Drosophila melanogaster: one gene and its partner. The protein of the gene in region 1 interacts with the protein of each later gene in a pairwise test. Each region holds a gene or a part of one and is shown in the gene's direction. Other genes may lie near its edges.

What was found.
Region 2: the proteins of CG6999 (region 1) and Ndf interact in a two-hybrid assay, tested with the Drosophila melanogaster proteins (one large-scale study listed by BioGRID).

The regions. Positions count from the first base shown.
Region 1 is NC_004354.4:9,086,166-9,089,890, forward strand, and holds CG6999 (uncharacterized protein), read left to right. Parts: upstream 1-2,201; 5' UTR 2,202-2,305; coding exon 2,306-2,600; intron 2,601-2,673; coding exon 2,674-3,080; 3' UTR 3,081-3,149; downstream 3,150-3,725. Other genes in the region: CG32708 (uncharacterized protein), read left to right, coding at 1-153, 232-617; CG32706 (uncharacterized protein), read left to right, coding at 1,079-1,373, 1,447-1,844; CCT2 (chaperonin containing TCP1 subunit 2), read left to right, coding at 3,431-3,433.
Region 2 is NT_033779.5:10,001,842-10,009,503, forward strand, and holds Ndf (Nucleosome-destabilizing factor), read left to right. Parts: upstream 1-1,990; 5' UTR 1,991-2,205; coding exon 2,206-2,285; intron 2,286-2,468; exon of another isoform or gene 2,469-2,693; coding exon 2,694-2,730; exon of another isoform or gene 2,731-3,202; intron 3,203-3,582; coding exon 3,583-3,665; intron 3,666-3,726; coding exon 3,727-4,576; intron 4,577-4,633; coding exon 4,634-4,744; intron 4,745-5,066; coding exon 5,067-5,337; intron 5,338-5,410; coding exon 5,411-5,500; intron 5,501-5,572; coding exon 5,573-5,662; intron 5,663-5,725; coding exon 5,726-5,925; 3' UTR 5,926-7,048; downstream 7,049-7,662. UniProt on the Drosophila melanogaster protein: Nucleosome-destabilizing factor that is recruited to genes during transcriptional activation and colocalizes with a subset of trimethylated 'Lys-36' histone H3 (H3K36me3)-enriched regions. Binds DNA (in vitro).

The DNA.
Region 1 (3,725 bases):
CCTCCAGTTCCTCGGCCCCCGCGAAGAAACGCAAGATGGGGATCATCTACATATCCAACATACCCAAGCATATGAACGTGACCCGCCTGCGGGAAATCTTGGGCGAGTACGGCGCCATCGGCAGAGTTTACCTACAGCCAGAGAAGCTGTCAAGTGAGTGGACCAAGTGGCATACATATAAGACCCACTGATTACCCACTAGTGTATATACTTTAATCTCAATTACTTTAGGTGCCAAAGCGAAGAAGAACAAGCGTAAGCGTTATAATATCCACTTCACCGAGGGCTGGGTGGAATTTAAGTCGAAACGTGTGGCCAAACAGATCGTTCCACTGCTGAACAACAAGCAGATATCCGGTCGCAAGACGTCCCAATTCTATGACTCGCTATGGAGCATGAAGTACCTGCCGCGCTTTAAGTGGGTCCATCTAACCGAGCGCATGAACTACGAGCAGGCGGTTCACAAGCAACGCCTACACACTGAGGTCTCGCAGGCCCGCAAGGAGACCACCTTCTTCCAGAACAATCTCGACAAGAGCGAGTTCATCAGGAAGCAGGCGAAGAAGGCCAAGAATGCGGAAAAGGCTCTGGCTGCCAAGAGCGACAGCGATGCCTGAGTTCGCGCTAGACTGTTGCATTCAATGTTTACCTGACTGCAAATATACTTATATTAAGTAGATCAAATAAAAATCTTTAAATAATTAGGCGCGCAAAATTATTTGAAATTAGGGCCCCTGCATATCGATAATTTCGTCGATTGTGTGTGCGTGTTAATGCTACTTCAGCTACTCAAGCTGAAGGAGGCCACTGTAACGCACAGGGATGGTTAAGATTTCTCGATTAAAATAGGGCTGAGTAAATCAAATGTTCTGTTACAAAGTGTTTTTAAAGCGATATGCTTTTCTAATGAAAGGGTACCAACACATCGATAGCTCTTCGATAAAAACGTCAACTGACATCGCCTGTCAACTGTCATACCTGATTGCGTACATTACAAAATATATTCGATCCAGCTAAAACGAAAGCTACAATGAAAAAAATAATTAATACATCAAAGCCAAAGCGCAAGTCCACTTCCATGAAAGTGGAGGAGACTAAGCTAGGCGAAGTGCGCTCGGGTAAGCCGCAGACAAAGGAAGGTGAGTCTGCAAATGGGGTAGCAAATCCCTCAAATGACGATAAAAAGGAGCTGGCCAATTTCAAAGCCACCTTCAATTCCTGGGCCCCCGAGAAGAAACGCGAGAAGATGCACAAGGTAGGCGTCATCTTAATATCCAACATACCCAAGGACATGGACGGGGACTGCCTGAAGGAAATCATGAACTTGCACAGCGTCGTCGGCAGAGTTTACGTGCAGCCGGAAACGCTGTCAAGTGAGTGGACCAAGTGGCATGCACAAATGACCCACTGATTACCCAGTATAAACTTTTATCTCAATTACTTTAGGTTTCAAGACAAAGAAGAACATGCGTAAGGGCTGGGTGGAGTTCATTTCGAAAAGTGGGGCCAAAAAAATCGCTCTAGAGCTGAACAATAAGCCTATAACCGATGGCAAGTCGTCCCGATTCCGTGGCTTGCTGTGGAAAATGAAGTTCCTGCCACGCTTCAAGTGGTACTATCTAACCGATCGCATGGACTACGAGCTGGCGGTTTGCAAAGTTCGCGTATGGTCGCAGGCCCGCAAGCGGGCCACCTTCTTGTACGATCCCGACCAGATGGAGTATTTCAAGAAGCAAGTGAAGAAGATGAAGAAGGTCAAGAAAGCGGAGATGGCTACCAGGAATGCGGAGATGGCTGCCAAGAAAGCGGAGATGGCTGCCAAGAAATTGAAGAAGTCTGCCTGAGTTCACGCTAGACCTTTGCTTCCAATGTCTACCTGACTGCAAATATACTTCAATTAAGTAAATCAAATCAAAATCTTTAAATAATTAGGCGCGCAAAATTATTTGAAATTAGGGCCCCTGCATATCGATAATTTCGCCGATTGTGTGTGCGTGTTAATGCTACTTCAGCTACTCAAGCTGAAGGAGGCCACTGTAACGCACAGGGATGGTTAAGATTTCTCGATTAAAATAGGGCTGAGTAAATCAAATGTTCTGTTACAAAGTGTTTTTAAAGCGATATGCTTTTCTAATGAAAGGGTACCAACACATCGATAGCTCTTCGATAAAAACGTCAACTGACATCGCCTGTCAACTGTCATACCTGATTGCGTACATTACAAAATATATTCGATCCAGCTAAAACGAAAGCTACAATGAAAAAAATAATTAATACATCAAAGCCAAAGCGCAAGTCCACTTCCATGAAAGTGGAGGAGACTAAGCTAGACGAGGCGCGCTGGGGTAAGCCGCAGACAAAGGAAGGTGAGTCTGCAAATGGGATAGCAAATCCCTCAAATGACGATAAAAAGGAGCTGGCCAATTTCAAAGCCACCTTCAATTCCTGGGCCCCCGAGAAGAAACGCGAGAAGATGCACAAGGTAGGCGTCATCTTAATATCCAACATACCCAAGGACATGGACGGGGACTGCCTGAAGGAAATCATGAACTTGCACAGCGTCGTCGGCAGAGTTTACGTGCAGCCGGAAACGCTGTCAAGTGAGTGGACCAAGTGGCATGCACAAATGACCCACTGATTACCCAGTATAAACTTTTATCTCAATTACTTTAGGTTTCAAGACAAAGAAGAACATGCGTAAGGGCTGGGTGGAGTTCATTTCGAAAAGTGGGGCCAAAAAAATCGCTCTAGAGCTGAACAATAAGCCTATAACCGATGGCAAGTCGTCCCGATTCCGTGGCTTGCTGTGGAAAATGAAGTTCCTGCCACGCTTCAAGTGGTACTATCTAACCGATCGCATGGACTACGAGCTGGCGGTTTGCAAAGTTCGCGTATGGTCGCAGGCCCGCAAGCGGGCCACCTTCTGGTACGATCCCGACCAGATGGAGTATTTCAAGAAGCAAGTGAAGAAGATGAAGAAGATGAAGAAGGTCAAGGAAGCGGAGATGGCTACCAGGAATGCGGAGATGGCTGCCAAGAAAGCGGAGATGGCTGCCAAGAAATTGAAGAAGTCTGCCTGAGTTCACGCTAGACCTTTGCTTCCAATGTCTACCTGACTGCAAATATACTTCAATAAAGTAAATCAAATCAAAATCTTTTAATATTTAGGCGCGCAAAATTATTTGAAATAAGCGCCCCTGCATTGCATATCGATAACTGCAAAACTTTCGAGTGCTGGTTTGTGTCAACACTATTTTTGGTATTTAAGTTCATGCAGGCGTTAGCACCTTTCCGTTGTCGGTATTTCTACCCGATAGCCGCGCGTTATCGATAACAGCCATCGACTGTCTCCATTTTCTTTGTCGCTTTGTTGCGCCCGTGTGGTATTTGAAAATTCTGTGATCACAAATCGACTAATTACGCAGAGAAAATGGTAAATTTAAAAGTAACAACTATATTATTCGAGTAGTTTACGGTGCGGGCTATTGGCGTTGCGTGAATTCGCCCACTTTTCATTGATAATTGTGGCCAATTCGGCGTTTTCATTTGCCGGGTGTGTGTGTGAACGAAGCGCAAGCCATTTTGACAGGCGGCTTGCACGTGAGCCATGGACTCCGATTTCGCCTGCCACTTCCAGAACCTTCTCCTGCTGTCCACGGGATCTGGGTGAATTGGAGCTATCACTAGATTGCTGGCCGGGATCGGCTCGGGCAGCTGGCTGAGAA
Region 2 (7,662 bases), on another chromosome or scaffold:
GTTTGCGCTGCACTAGATGCTGCTGCAGTGCCTCCACCCCACAGCCTCCTTGTGGTGTGGCAAGTGGTGCTCCACAAACGGCACTGGAGCGTGCTGCTAGTTGTTGTTCTATCAACACTTTAATTGCCCGAGATGTTCTCTAAGGCCTCTAAATAAGTAAATGCTCTGCATTATTTGAGTTCCTTTAACATGTGCGCAAGTGAATAGGGTATTAATTGTCTAAGCAATTGGATCGATACGATCCACCCCAAATTATCCCTTGATAAAGTGAGTGGTTTTCATAAAAAAAAATCAAGGATAATGCAGGAAAATAATATGATAATCGGATCACTTGGAATCTACTCACTCGAATCGGAATTGGATGTAGCGCCGTTGTACATCGCCTCAGTTGAACAGCTGCAAAGATATTTTAATAGTATTACGTACAATTTTATATTATGTTTACAATAATATACCAAGTTAAGGGTCTTCAATCCAAAATGCAATCCAGTCCAATATTTTCTGAAAGTCAAATCAAATGTAAATTAGCAAACATAATTTTAGTTAGAAATAAATACATATTACTAAAATCCTACGTTCCAACTTTCAATATGCGCGAAACCGACTGAATTCCATTGGCAATCATTTCCAATATTCCAACCAATTCCAAACAACATGCTCACACACGCATACATGTACATACCCACTTGTAAACAGAGAAGCGGCTATTTTCAAAGTGTCAGCACAATTGGAAGATCGTAAACAAGAACGGAACTTGAGATTCAAGACACTTTCGTCTGGAAGTCAGAAAAAAGTTAAGTTACGACCAATAGTTCACATATAAATCTATTATACTTGAGTAAGAATAATAAATATTTGCTATTATTGGTCAACGGAACCGACTTTTTTTGCACAGCTAGAATGAAGAAGAGCAGGAAACTAATTCTTGCCTTCCAAATTAATCGATGTTTTAAGCTTTAAGATAAGCTCGATATCAACTTTTATCGGAATGGTCAGATCGGAATTTAAAAAAAAAAACTTTAATTTCTCCCCAACTCAAATTGAAACACACAAACAAATGAATGTACTTAAACCCTTTTTTTTTGCTAGCGAGTATGCGATCAAAACTAGAGAAACATATGTACGTTTTTTCCCTTATAATTGATGGCAATCTGGTCCCAATAAATCCTTCTCACCCATTTCGCGCCTGCTAATTGCCAAACAAAATGCAATAATTCAACCCAAAAGCACGCTTTCTTTTCCTAGCACAAATACAATACCCCTTTAACGGCCGCAATTTCCCTTTTTCACCCTTTTGTTTGCCAGGTCACCCGAAAAGTTTTACCGAGCAGGGTTGTCGCATGACCCCCCGCAACCCACAACCACAGCAGCAATCGCTTTTTATTCTCTTTTTATATGATTGTTTCATATTTATGAGGATTATATGGCTGATGCTGAGTGCTGAGAATCAGAGAAAAATTGAGTTGGACGTGTGGTAATTTATTTTTCGGCTAAGGGGACGGACTTGTAGTTAACTGTTAGTTTTCCGAGCTCAAGATCGCACAGATTATAAAGAATTTACTGTGCAATACTAATTAAATTTATCTTTATCATTATTTTACTTAAACGGAATTTGTATAAGCCAAAAAACAAAATTTATTAATAATCTCCAACTAAAAATGTGTATCAATGAAATTATTTTCTTATGGAATTAAATTTCAATAGTTTATGCCCGCCTTTGTATTTAACATCTAAACATTAGAATTAAATAAAGTATTTAAAAAAAAATTTAGCGTATAAAAAGCATGGATTGATTCCAAGTGCATTTTACGAATTTGCATTGAATCACGATAATAATATTCACTTGTAATACTTAATTAAATAATTTAATTCGGAACCCATATTAATTTACCGAGTTCGAGGCGGGTTGGCAGTCCGATTGCATGACGTAGCAACGCCGCCACTTTCCAGCACTGGCCGATTGCCAGCCAAAATGGCGCCCGCCTGCTATCGCATTGCTCGAGCAGATATCGGTTCGGCAGCGCATCACACACACAACGCGAAAAAAAAAAGAAAAATACGGGTGGCCTGCAAGCGAATATCTCCGAAATTCATTGAATCCCGACGCCGAGATTTGTGCTCCGATCCGAGAAACCCATTAGCTTCCGTGCACCGTCCGCCCAAGCCAGCAAAATAACCAAGTTCAACATACGCCTGGACAACATAATGTCGAAGAATAAAAAACTGTCGCTGTCGGGCGGCGATACGACGGAGAAATTTATTTACAAACCCAAGGATCTGATATGGTAAGCCGGGACCGTGGACTCATCAATATATTCGCTGTATTCTCAGCTGCGCTGCGCCGTGAAGAAACAAGAAAAAAAAAAAAACGAGAGATGAAAATCAAAGCAAACACCTAACCTCAATTGCGCACCGTTGGCGCTCGGAAAAAAAAATATGAAGAAAAAAAGAGCCAGTGAAGTGTGCATAAAAAAGCAATTAGCGCTGCCTTTTTGACAGCCACGCAGCGCAGTATCCATGTAGCTCCATCCGAATGACGACCATAATTCCGGAGCTACGTGCGTGGATTCCGGGCGCGCGACGTCGACTTCGCTGCGTTGGCGCTTTTTTCGCGCGCGCGCCCTTTTTTCTTGCTTTTCCTCCTTGCGGCCAATATGAGTTTTCCCTGTTCTGATAGCGCATTTTCTTTGCAGGGCCAAAATGAAGGGCTTCACTCCGTGGCCAGGAATGGTAAGCATTGCAGTTGGCGATCGGAATGTTTACGCCGCGTCGACGTCGCGTCGCTGCCGCCTTCTCTGCTGCCATGTTGTTGTGTTTGTTTTCGACTGTACTTTTCGATTCAACGCTGCCGGCTTCGCTGCCGCCGCTCTGCCCGCAGCCACGCACTTGCACACATTGCCCCATTGCCGTTGTGGTTGTTGTTGTTGCCGCTGTGCTGTTGTCGCTGCCGGCGGAGGAAATGGTCTCTTCCATGGAGCCGCTATCGGGGGCCACGAGCAGCAGCTTTTGATCGTGTGTACAGCCGCTGGAAAGCAGCATGTGCACTCGGAGGAGGGGGAGTGACGCGCGGCAGGCGTGGAGTTTGAACACAGACGTTGCCAAGGATATCAGTTCCCAGTTTCGTTATTCTATGCCGTTCAAAAGGAGTTTTGTTAATATATTAACTTTTATTTGACATTAACATTCTCATCGGTAATCTTGTGATATACCAATCGGTTCTTTAGAGTTTTGTGAAATGTGCTAATGATAGTGAATCACCTCAGCTAAGGTTTTATCAAATCAAATTGGTTTTGTGCAAGTTGCTAGAAAAATGAGGATATATTTTTAAATCCTTATAATTCCTAGCTCAAATGTAAAGTTAAAGAGTGGTTTTCGATTGAAATTGGAAGTGAAAAAGCAACATTTGCATATGTTTTGTTTCGTGCGTGATAAAGTCTTGTAAATGGGTTATCACAGAATAGATTAGTTCGAGGGAATTCATAGGCACATCCTTATAGAGTAAAATGCATTGTCTGCTTAAAATGTTTCTGAAGACTTTAAAGATATGATGTGGTGGAAGCTAATGTTGATTTCTCTCCTTAGATTGTCGATCCTCCACTTGATCTGCTCAGCCAGCAGCGTCGGGCGAATACCAAATGCGTGTTTTTCTTTGGATCTAGGAATTTGTAAGTAAAATGCACGCCAACCCCAAAAAGCGCCTGTAATAACATGGGTAATATTTAACAGTGCCTGGATTGAGGAGAACAACATCAAGCCCTTCGAAGGACCGTGGAAGGAGGAACTGGCCAAGGTGAGCAAGCCCGCTGCTTTCCGACACGCCATGACGGATATCGAAAAGTACATCGACGACCCCGCCGAGGTGGACGAGCAGGTGAACAAAAGCTGCGGTGCGCCGAATCACGCAACCGAGGCTGATTTTGACAAGATCCGGGATGGCCTGGACAGCGAGGAGATTGTGGGAGAGGAAGCAACTGCCGATGGCAACAATGGAGTGGTGGCCCATGTGGTGGGCAGCCCCGATGAGGGCGATGGCTTGGATGTGGAAATCAATGCAGATTCATCAGCGTCACCAGTCACGTCGCCGGCGGTCACAACGAAGGCAGCTGGCAAGCGGACGCCGAAAGCAAAGTCCGTGGCCGCTACATCGGTCAAGTCGACAAAGGGATCGGCAAAATCAGCACAGAAACGGCGTACCTCTGCCCAACAGTCGCCCAGTGGGCCATCGAATGCCAAGCGAGGCAAGCGTGATGTTTCCGGGGAGGCATTGCAGGACGCGGATGAAGCCAGCTCCACGCCCACTGGCAGACGTCGGGTCGAGACTGACGCACTCTTGGCCTCAATCGCTGCCAAGCGTGCACCGAATGCAATTGCTCTGCTTGACCGACCGGTTGTCACGCGGCCAGAGGCCCAAGTCATCGACATGAGCTCGCGCTCCAACACACTGGCCGATCGCGATATCGTGCCTTCAGAGCAGACCTTCGGCTTCCTGGGTCTTGGAATGATGGGATCCACCATAGTCAAGGATTTGATCTACACGGGTCACAAGGTTGTGGTCTGGAACCGCACCATTGACAAGGTAAAGTTTTACGATAGCAAGTTCACACATGAATCCTACAACAATCTCGTTTTGTAGTGCCAACCGTTTGCCGAAGCCGGCGCTGAGGTTAAGGACACTCCCATGGATGTTGTGGAAGCTGCCGACGTTATCTTTTGCTGTGTGTCCGATCCAAAGGGCGCCAAGGATGTAAGTCATAAAAGGTTTCATTTATATACATATTTAATTTGGGAAATGCCTAAAACACAACGTGGTTAACAAAACTTAAATTTTGGCCTTGGGGTTCCTATAAAATTCAAATGACTCATCCGCGCTTGTTAACTTAAAAAGTACATATGAATGAAAGCACGCAGTTTAAAATGACGATTTTCTGACGCTCTCTTTGCAAAGCGATCTTCCTTACACTGTATAAAATTAAAATATATTAGAATACAAAATAATTGTGCAACTGGGAGGGATGGCGTAATTTAACATTCTTCTTATTTATGCATTCGTTTTATTCGATGTTTAGCTCGTATTTGGCAACTGCGGCGTTCTGCAGTTGAAGGACTTGAACAATAAGGCCTACGTTGAAATGTCTACAATTGATCCGGACACATCGTTGGACATTGGCGAGGGCATCAAGCAGTGCAACGGTCGCTATCTTGAGGCACAAATTCACGGCTCTCGGCAGGAGGCTGCCGAAGGCATGCTCATCATTCTCGCCGGTGGAGATCGTTCAGTGTTCGAGGAGTGCCACTCGTGCTTCAAGACCATTGCCAAGAACACCTTCTTCTTGGGGAGTAAGTACAGCCTGCACTGCTGACCATTTCCTTTGAAACAATTTATTAAAATATGTCGTTTGTTCACATCTAGCAGATATCGGTAACGCCTGCAAAGTAAACCTAATTTTGCAAACCATCTTGGGAGTGAGTCTGGTCGGGTTGGCTGAGGCGTTAGCACTTGGTAGGTTTTATTGTATATTGTTAGCAGTAAGCAGCCTTAACTAATTGATCTTTTTTTTTATTGCTTTTGCAGCTGATCGGTTCTCGATCTCTCTGAACGACATCATAGACATTTTCGATTTGACTTCAATGAAATCACCCATGCTGCTGGCTAAGGGCAAAGGTATGGATAGCACCGTGGCTATTTCCTAGTGTTTATCTTATCCTATTTTGAATTCCTTTGCAGAAATGGCCAAGGGTGACTTCAATCCCCAGCAGCCTTTGAGCCACATGCAACGCGACTTGCGCTTGGTGTTAAACATGGCTGAGAACCTGGACCAGTCCATGCCCGTCACCAGCATCACCAACGAGGTGTTCAAGCACACCAAGCGCTTGGGCTACAGTGAACACGACTCGAGCGCCGTATTCGTAAGATCCAGATTTTAACATTTAGTTAACACGACTAACGTTTAAACTATGTTTTATCAATTAGTTTAAAGCGTACACCGAACAGAACGACAGAACCGACAAACGACTGACTTAAAAAAAAAAAACTAAACAGGACAGTAATAGAAACGCATAACCCTCACTTATTCACCCACCAATCCAAACTGACAGAGGCGTTCGTTCACAAGGAGTTCTCCTGCCCTTGTGATTGGCAGCGCCACCACCCCAACCTTCTGCATCTTCCCCAATCGCCCCATATGCAAAGCGTTTAATGCAATATGTCTACGATTCGCCGGGAATCGCAGAACCGTGTCGTCCTGCTTTCAACGCAGGAGCCACTGAAGAGCGCTTGGGTGAGTGTGTTCAACAGCTGGCGGATGAAGAGCACAATCTTTCCGGGATCACTTCAATCAAGTTTAGAGTTTTTTTGTATTTTATTCTTTGACGGGTGAAACGCAATCCCCAGAGAGGAGGGAGGAGGCCAGGGCGCCGTGTTTCCGATTTTATATGTGTAAGGTTTTGCTTTCCAAATATCATTTTTACGCATGTCCATACATAACTTGTAAGTGTATAGAATACTGCATCCGAATAAAATGTACAAAGCATACTTGTGAAAGACAACGCCGATTTTGAGAAACCGAGCGAAGTATGGAACCCTCCAATGTGTGTCGATCCAACCTCCCAGCCTCCCACTTTTTGTGCATTTACTCCAGTCCTAAAATTGTATACATTTAAAATCCCCTTTTTTTCTATGAGTAAATAGTAGGCTAATCGATCATACTGCGTAGAATGGCAAACATATTTGGAGTGACGGTAACGATAGATTGGTTTAGTTTTAGCCATCTCTCCCCATCATCTGTCACTGCAACAAACGAGACACAACCTAAAACGGAAAAAACGGTACAGAACGCACCACAACCGATACGCAAACGATACGAAAACGTAAACTACACAACAACCGGAAGAAAACAAAATAGAGTAAACTTTGATCGAACCCTTTGCGTGGGTCGCTATTAATAATAATAATAAGAATATATAATAAATAATATATTTTACTTATTATTTAGTCTGTATTTTGTTGTAAAACAAAGATTAATAAAAAGATAATTTTAATAGAGGATGTAAGGAAATTAAATTGAGTTCGCATTGCAATATTCACGTTTTGCTTGATATGGTTCATATATATTTTGGATAATACAGTATTAAAATGTAAGTGCAATTTAAACTTTATTTAAATTGACATACATTAAAGAAATGTGTGTTTTGGGAGAATTTCATAATATTAAAGTTATATACAACTTGGTTAACCTTTTCGATTAGTATGAAAGGTATATTTTTACTTATTTTGTATTGTTTTTTATTACCGTAAAGGAAATGGGAGGTTTTCTTCGCGACACAATTTTATTATTTGTATAATCATAAAATTAGTTAAGAAAATTCAATACCTTCTAAAAATATTGATTTCATATTTTTTTGTTGCTAAATGATCCTTTTAACCTATGAATATGAAACATTAAAATAATTCAAAAACAACTAGTTCCCATTTTTAGTGGTTCCAGCGATAGGAAATAATCGCTTCACGGAGTTGCTGGAAACATCGATAGCATCGCGTGAACATCGACTTTTGTTCCATCCCTATCGTGGATGTTTATGTGGTGCGTGTGTGGCAGAATTATTATCAAAATTATTGAAAGAATCAATTTTGAGCCCGCAGATCGTCACACTTGCTAGAAAATG